Linked DNA regions of Callithrix jacchus. The protein of the gene in region 1 interacts with the protein of each later gene in a pairwise test. Links are inferred from orthologs where the notes say so. Each region holds a gene or a part of one and is shown on either strand. Other genes may lie near its edges.

Region 1 (4,522 bases):
TATTTTTAGTAGAGACGGGGTTTCACCATGTTGGCCAGGCTGGTCTCGAACTCCTGACCTCAGGTGATCTGCTGGCCTGAGACTCCCAAAGCGCTGGGATTACAGGCGTGAGCCAAGGCGCCCGGCCTGATCCCGCCTTGTTTCTCAACTCTGAAACTTGAGACAGATCCAGATTTTCCTTTCTCCCCCCCCCAACAACTATTCAATTAACAGCTATTTCTCTCTCATAGTTCAGCGTCCTCTTTGAACCCATAGGCCATTTCTTCGCTTGAAGTCTTTACCATCTGTTGTCTGGTATTTTTCCCAGAGGGTCGTAATTAGTGTCCCTGCCCTTGGGACCACTCCCACTCTCAATCCAGCCTCCAACACTAAGAAGTCAGTGCTCCTCCTAGCATCCAGGACGCCCAGGTCGAACCCGTTCTCATTTACCCCTTGGCTGACCTTCTAATTCTAGGCCTCACTTTTCCCTCTACACCCCTGCATACTCAGCCACTCACTGCTGTCGGGCTTGCCAGACTACTCTGCCTCTCCGGTATTTTCGCATAGGCTATTCACGCTTTGCGCACCAACCCTATCCTCGCTTATGGAGTCCACCTGGAAAACCTCCACACGTCTTCGACGGTGTGCAAATGGCACCTCCTCTGAGAATGCTTCCCTGATTTCCCAGCTGTGATTCCAACACCTTTGACCTCCCAGGTTCAAGCAATTCTCGTGCCTCAGCTACCCAAGTACCTGGGATTACAGGTGTGCACCACCACACCCAGCTAACTTTCGTATTTTTAGTAGAGAGGGGGTTTCACCATGTTGGCCAGGGTGGTCTCAAACTTCCGACCTCAAGTGACCCACCCACTTTGGTCTCACAAAGTGCTGGGATGACAGACATGAGCCACCGTGCCCAGCCTTCTGGCATTTATTATCTCTTTTTTTTTGAGACAGAGTTTCGCTCTTGTTACCCAGATTGGAGTGCAATGGCGCGATCTCGGCTCACCGCAACCTCCGCCTCCTGGGTTCAAGCAGTTCTCCTGTCTCAGCCTCCCGAGTAACTGGGACTACAGGCGCGCGCCACCATGCCCAGCTAATTTTTTTGTATTTTTAGTAGAGACGGGGTTTCACCATGTTGACCAGGATGGTCTCGATTTCTTGACCTCGTGATCCACTCGCCTTGGCCTCCCAAAGTGCTGGGATTATAGGCGTGAGCCACCGCGCCCGGCCATTATTTCTAAGCTGTATGATGCACATTTGCTGTCCCACGTCCACCTGGAGGTAGGGCTACTCACGGCATAGACTGCCCTCACAGACTGTACTCTCCTCGGAGGATCGGGCCCAGGTCTTCGCAGACCCCTGCAGGTGCCAAGCTCAGGGTCTGACCCGGGCGGGAAGTCAGCCCCGCGCCGCTGGAGGAAGGAGCCGAGTCACTGCTGCGACCACATTTGGCAGCAGAGGTCTCGGGGAGCAGCTCTAACCCCTGGGCTGCCAATCCGAGCGCCCACCACACGCCAAGGCGGGAACGCCTCCGAACGCCGGCCCTCGGCGCCCGGAACTGGGCCCGGAGCTCTCTCCCCGCGCCCGCGCAGCTCCAGGCGCACCCCTTGTGGCGTCGCCCCGCCCCGCCTAGCTCGGTACTGAGAGAGGGTCACGTGGGCCGCGCCTTGGCCAATGCGGCGGCTGCGCAGCGCCGGGCCCGCCCCTGTGCCGCGCGCACGTCGGGGGCGGGAACGGCGCGCGCAACCCCTCAGGCGGGTAACTGCGCAGCGCTCGGGACCCGGGGCGGTGGGAAGCTCGGGTTGCCGAGGGGTTCGCGCGGGAGTCGGTGCGGAGGAGCCATGGTCGGCCAACTGAGTGAGGGGGCCATTGCGGTGAGGAGGCGCCGGGGGATCCGGGTGGCTGCGGCCCGGGAGCCTGCAGGAGTGGGGAGGGGGAGGGGAGCCCGGGGCGAAGGGGGTGAACGCGAGGGAGAAGTGGGGGACGGTGGGGGAACGCGGGGCGCCCCTCCAGTCATCACTCCTCCTCAGAGCATTCTTCCGATCGTCTTTGAAACATGCTCACGTTTTTCGTACTTAAGAACTAACTACACACTTGCCTTCCATCTTCCACCTGCGGCCACTTTCTCTGTCTCTTCCTAACTACAGGCAAGCTCCTATTTGTCTGGTTTCAGCCACTTCTTTTCCTCGCCTCTCATGAACTCTTCAGCCCACTCCAGCCATCTCCTTGATCGCTGTCGGAAACTCTGGCTGAAGTTACCAGTGGCCTCCAATTTGCCAAATCCAGCACTTTTCCGTTTTCGGCTTACCTGAGTTCTCAGTAGCGTTTGCGTTTGAGCACCGCTTCCTTCTGATCACACTAAAACACTGAGTTTTAGTGGCTCGGTTTGGCGGGTCTTTCCCCGTCTTATTTGCAGGCCCCTCTTTGCAAATTTTTATTGACTCCAGGCTTACTATAGGCCCTCTTGACTCCCAAGGCGATTTCTTTTTCTTTTCTTTTTTTCTTTGAGACAGAGTCTCACTCCGTGCCCCAGGCTGGAGTGCAGTGGCGCGATCTGGTTTTACTGCAACGTCCGCCTCCCGGGTTCAATTGATCCTCCTGCCTCAGCCTTCCAAGTAGCTGGGACTACAGTTGTGCACCACCACACTTGACTAATTTCTGTGTTTTTATTAGAGATGGAGTTTCACCATGTTGGCCAGGCTGATCTCGAACTTCAAACTTCAAGTGAACTGCCCGCCTCAGCCTCCCAAAATGCTGGGATTGCAGGCGTGAGCCACTGTGGCTGACCCCAAAGCAGTTTCATTGCCATCTATTAATATATGTCATTGCTCACAAATTTTATACGGAGCCACCTTTACTCTAAAAGACGAACTTCTGTAATCTGTCTGCTGATTTCATGCTTCAGAGGCATTTGAGTTCAATATACACATCCCAAAGCAAATTCGTTATCTTGGTAAAGTCTGGGCCTCTTGATCCCTATCCCGGTGAATGACACCATTATCTGTTCAGTGCTAACCAGAAATTGAGAAATCATTCCTTCTATATTCTGCACCACCTGGCGTCCAGTCCAGGTGAAGTGTATTTTACCTCCACGTGGATCTCTCAAGACTGTCTGCTGCTCTCCAACCACACGGGCACCGTCATCTTCTGCCTGGACTGCTCACTTCCACTCTGCGTTCCTGCCACCATTCCCATCCCTAGCATATTCTCTCTTCCTGTTCTCTCTTCCTCTCCAGTCACCCCACTTTTTTTTTTTTAATTTAGATTTCTGGTATATTCCATACTCCTACCTTCTTCCATGGGGCCTTTGAACATTCTTTTCCCTCTGCCCACTGCCTGGGTGGTTCACTCCTCCCAACACTGGCAAATACAGTCTTCATATCTCAGCTCATTTGTGACTTCTCCTACTAGGCTAAATTGAGACACCAATTTCTTTTCATTCACATTTTTTTTTCTTTTTGCAATGGGGTTTCGCTCTGTTGCCAGGTTGGAGTGCAATGGCACGATCTCGGCTCACTGCAACCTCCGCCTCCCAGGTTCAATTGATTCTCCTGCCTCAGCCTCCTGAGTAGCTGGGACTACAGGCATGTGCCACCGTGCCTGGCTAATTTTTATATTTTTAGTAGAGACGGGGTTTCATCATGTTGGCCAGGCTGGTCTCGTCGAATTCTGACCTCAGATGATCTGCCTGCCTCAACCTCCCAAAGTACTGGGATTACAAGTGTGATTGCACCTATTTTAAGTGTACAGCCTGATGAACTTTGACAGATGTATGCACCCCTCTAACCACAATGCCCCAGAATACTTCATTAATGTGCAGTTCCTCCTCCTTCCCCACCTCTGTCTTCACCCTAGGCAACCAGTCTTCTGGTTTCTATCTCTATGGGTTAGTTTTGACTTTCTTAAAACTTTGTATAAATGGAATCAAATAATATCTACCCTTTTATATCTGGCTTCTTTCAGCAACTTTTTGTTTTTCAGAAGTAGGATCTCTGTTACCCAGGGAGGAGTGCAGTGACCCAGTCATGGCTCACCTGCAGCCCTGACCTCCTGAACTCAAGTCAAGGCATCCTCCCACCTCAGCCTCCTGAGTAGCTGGGACTACAGATGCGGGCCACCACTCTCAGCTAATTAAAAAAAAAAAATTTCTGTAGACATGGGATCTTGGTATGTTGTCCAGGATGATCAGGAACTCCTGGGCCCAAGTAATCCTCCCACCTTGACCTCCCAAAGTGTTAGAATTACAGGCACAGTCCACCACTCTGGACCAAAATGGTTTCTGAGATTTATCCATGTTAATTCAGTAATTTGCACCTTTTTTTTTTTTTTAAGGCAGAGTCTCATTCTGTCGCCAGGTGCCAGGCTGGAGTGCAGTGGCGCAATCTCGGCTCACTGCAATGTCCGCCTCGTGAGTTCATGCAATTCTCCTGCCTCAGCCTCCGAATAGCTGGGACTACAGGCTCGTGACACCACACCCAGCTAATTTTGGTATTTTTAGTAGAGACGGGGTTTCACCATGTTGGTCAGGATGGCCTCCATC
Region 2 (3,608 bases), on another chromosome or scaffold:
TAAAAGAAATGAGAGCATTAATAAACTCCTCAAAACTCTACTCATTTAGGCTGTTAACTAACTACAGAGGATTGTTAGGAGGTTACTTGCCAATGGTGGATTCCAATAACTGTGGTTTCTTTATTAACCATTATAAAAGACTTTAAATCAGTAACACCCAAAATAAAATGTTTTATAAAGAAAAACAAAATTGCGGTGAAATATCAAAAAATTCTTGGCTGGGTATGGTGGCTCAGGACTGTAATCCCTGAACTTTGGGAGGCTGAGGCAAGTGGATCACTTGAGTCCAGGAGTTCAAGACCAGCCTGGCCAACATGGTGAAACCTCATCTCTACCAAAAATACAAAGAAGTCTGCCAGACATGGCAGTGTGTGGCTGTGGTCCTAGGTATTCAGGAGGCTGAGGTGGGAGGATCACCTGAGCCTGGGAAGTGGAGGTTGCAGTGAGCCCAGATCTTGCCACTGCACTCCAACCTGAGAGACAGAGCAAGACCTTGTCTCAAAAAAAAATTTTTTTTCTGTTTATACAACTGCTAGAATCTTAAGTTCAGAATTTACTCTGTAAGAGCATATTAAAAACTTACTGTGATTTTGTCCATGTTTTACCTAATATATAATAGGCCTAAGTCTTGTACTTTTCCATCCTGTCCACAGAGCCTTGAAAATAATTTAGAACTCAGTCATTCAGTTTGGATTTATGTATAAATTGAAATATACTAATTACTTATTTATAGTGCACTTGGCAAAATAGCTGGAAAATTGCAATTTTAAAATAACGAAAAAATTTTTTAAAGCCAGTGTTAAGATGTGACTTATCTTAGAGTATGATAATCATTGAAAGACGATTGCCTAGTTTTTGTTTTTGTTTTTGTTTTTTTTTTTGAGACGGGGTTTCATTTGCCACCCAGGCTGGAGTGCAGTGCAGTGGCGCGATCTCGGCTTACTACCACCTCCACCTCCTGGGTTCAAGTGATGGTCCTACCTCAGCCTCCCTAGTAGCTGGGATTGCAAGTGTGCACCATCACGCCTGGCTAATTTTTGTATTTTTAGTAGAGATGGGGTTTCACCACGTTGACAGGCTGGTCTTCAACTCCTGATCTCAAATAATCCTCCTGCGACGACCTCCCCAACTGTTGGGATTACAGTCTTGAGCCACTGTGCCCAGCCAATGCTCCTAGTAATGGTTTGAACAGGGGAGGTGAGTTCTTAAAAACAGTAACCACAGTGGTTCATTTTTCCCCTTGCACATAACGTACAGCACTCTGCCATTGGGCCAAGCACTTTGTGCTCCTAAAATTTCTGTTGCATTGTTGTTTCAGTGAATAAATGCGTCTTTTAAAAGTGATTGCAGAAGTTGCAGCATTAAGAAATAAAGAGGGGAGACTAGTAAAAATGCATTTTGATAGAGATTGCAAGAAAGGCTGGCTTTGAAAGACACGTGGGACTTTTACTAGACAGGCGCTTTGACCAGCTAAGCAACAAGGGTCCCCTCGTGTGGGACTTTTAGAATGTAGCAATCACTGGCACACAGGGAAGGATTATCAGATCAGGTGAGAAGGTGGCAAGCCCGGATTGGCTGGAAGCAGATGCATTCTGGTAGCTGATTGGTCCCACAGGTAGCGTGAAGCTTGTCCGAGCATCAGGTTCCCAGCATTCAATCGGAGCCTTCTGTGGAGAGCTCGGAGTCTTCTGTGGAGAGCTCGGAGTCTTCTGTGGAGAGGTCCAAGCCTTCAGTGGAGCCCCGGACAAGCCAAAGCCCACCTTCTCCTTGGCCTGAGCCGTTTTGAAGATGAGTAAGAGTGGGTTTGGGAGCTATGGCAGTATTTCTGCTGCCAGTGGAGCGAGTGGAGGCAGTGACCAACCATCTGAGAGAGGTGCAGCTCCTGTTGTTAAGACCCAAAGACCGAGGGTCCGAATCCAGAACATCGTACCGTGTAATGTGTACCAGCTGCTGAGCTCTACTGTGTTGGATACTGTGTTCAAGGTTAGGGGAATTACAGTTTCCCAGGTCTCCGTCGTGGGGGTAATCAGAGAGGCAGAGAAGGCTTCAAATCACATTTGTTACAAAATTGATGATATGACTGCGAAGCCAATCGAGGCCCGACAGTGGTTTGGTAGAGAGAAAGTCAAGCAGCTGACTCCACTGTCAGTCGGACTATATGTGAAAGTGTTTGGTATCCTCAAATGTCCCGCGGGAACCAAGAGCCTTGAAGTATTGAAAATCTATGTCCTTGAGGACATGAATGAATTCACCGTGCATATTCTGGAAACGGTCAGTGCACACATGATGCTGTATAAAGCCCGTGGTGATACCACTCTAGAAAGTGTGCCTGTGTCTCCATCAGAAGTAGATGATGCTGGGGATAATGATGAGAGTCGCCGCAATTTCATCCGGGATGAAGTGCTGCGTTTGATTCACGAGTGCCCTCGTCAGGAAGGGAGGAGCATCCATGAGCTCCAGGCTCAGCTCTGCGACCTCAGCATCCAGGCCATCAAGGAAGTGATTGATTATCTGACCCTCGAGGGCCACATCTATCCCACTGTGGATCGGGAGCATTTTAAGTCTGCTGATTGAGACAGGGAAACCATCCTTTTATTTTCTGAAGACCCTTGCATCCAGCTGTGAGTAATTTTGACCTGTTGACTTTTTAGGAAGGACTAAAAAAAAAACAACAAAAAAAAAACTCAACTGGCATTCTTCAGCAACTCGCTGCTTTTCCAACTACTTTGAACTTTTCTTTTTTTCTAGCTATATTTGAAGCTCAAGATGGTAATGGATAAAATGACTGAACTCTTTGTAGGATTTACAAGCAAGCTAATGGAAACATGGTGATTTTGGGGGAAGAAAAACTACAGAAAATGTTAAAATTTATTATTTAATTGTGTTCGAACTTCTTTTTCCAAAATATCTATGTATTGGGAAAAACTAGTTGCACTCAGGGAGCCAGCTAAGAGAAAAAAAAAAAAAGCATTGCTTGTTTTTAATGTTAGACTTATTTTCCATGTTTAGATATAGCTTATTATAGTGATATTGTTATCTCTTGCTCAATATAGTATTTAGTATTTGATTAATTCAAATGAGCTGAAGATACTTATTTGTGAATTCTAATGCTCAGTTCATTTATTGTGTATTTGCTGTTATTACTATGAATTTATGTTTTCTTAAAATAAGATTATACTGTGTTTAAATAAATCATTTTTGCCAGGTTATCTTTGAATATAGTTTTTTAATGTGGGTAAGTTTAATGATTATTTCAAATATGATGTGGTATTTGATGAAATTACAGTTTCTGGTAGTTGTATGGTAAATAGATGCCAGAGTTTCTGTAAGATTTATGTGCTGGTATGTTCTGTATTTTACTAAATGCTCTGTTTTATGTATAACAGGGTACTTTTTAGGAGGTTAGGGAAACAAGTCATAGGAATATGAAACTTACTGAGTTTGACACAGACTTATTCAAATGTTGTATTAAAATAGTTTTACAAAATCTTAACTTTCCTTTGTGATTTTTTTCTAAGTACATTCGAAAAAGCCTTTTTGTTTTATATCCTTGAGGATAGTTTTAATTGTCTAGAATTTTTTCTTTTCTATATATTATACCAAAAACA

Evidence for each region.
Region 2: the proteins of RPA1 (region 1) and RPA4 interact in binary tests that used the Homo sapiens proteins (3 or more experiments, as listed by UniProt). The link is inferred for Callithrix jacchus from reciprocal best matches to the Homo sapiens genes RPA1 and RPA4.

The regions. Positions count from the first base shown.
Region 1 is NC_133506.1:66,416,427-66,420,948, reverse strand, and holds the start of RPA1 (replication protein A 70 kDa DNA-binding subunit), read left to right. Parts: upstream 1-1,706; 5' UTR 1,707-1,823; coding exon 1,824-1,856; intron 1,857-4,522. UniProt on the Homo sapiens protein: As part of the heterotrimeric replication protein A complex (RPA/RP-A), binds and stabilizes single-stranded DNA intermediates that form during DNA replication or upon DNA stress.
Region 2 is NC_133524.1:93,083,961-93,087,568, forward strand, and holds RPA4 (replication protein A 30 kDa subunit), read left to right. Parts: upstream 1-1,382; 5' UTR 1,383-1,788; coding exon 1,789-2,574; 3' UTR 2,575-2,955; downstream 2,956-3,608.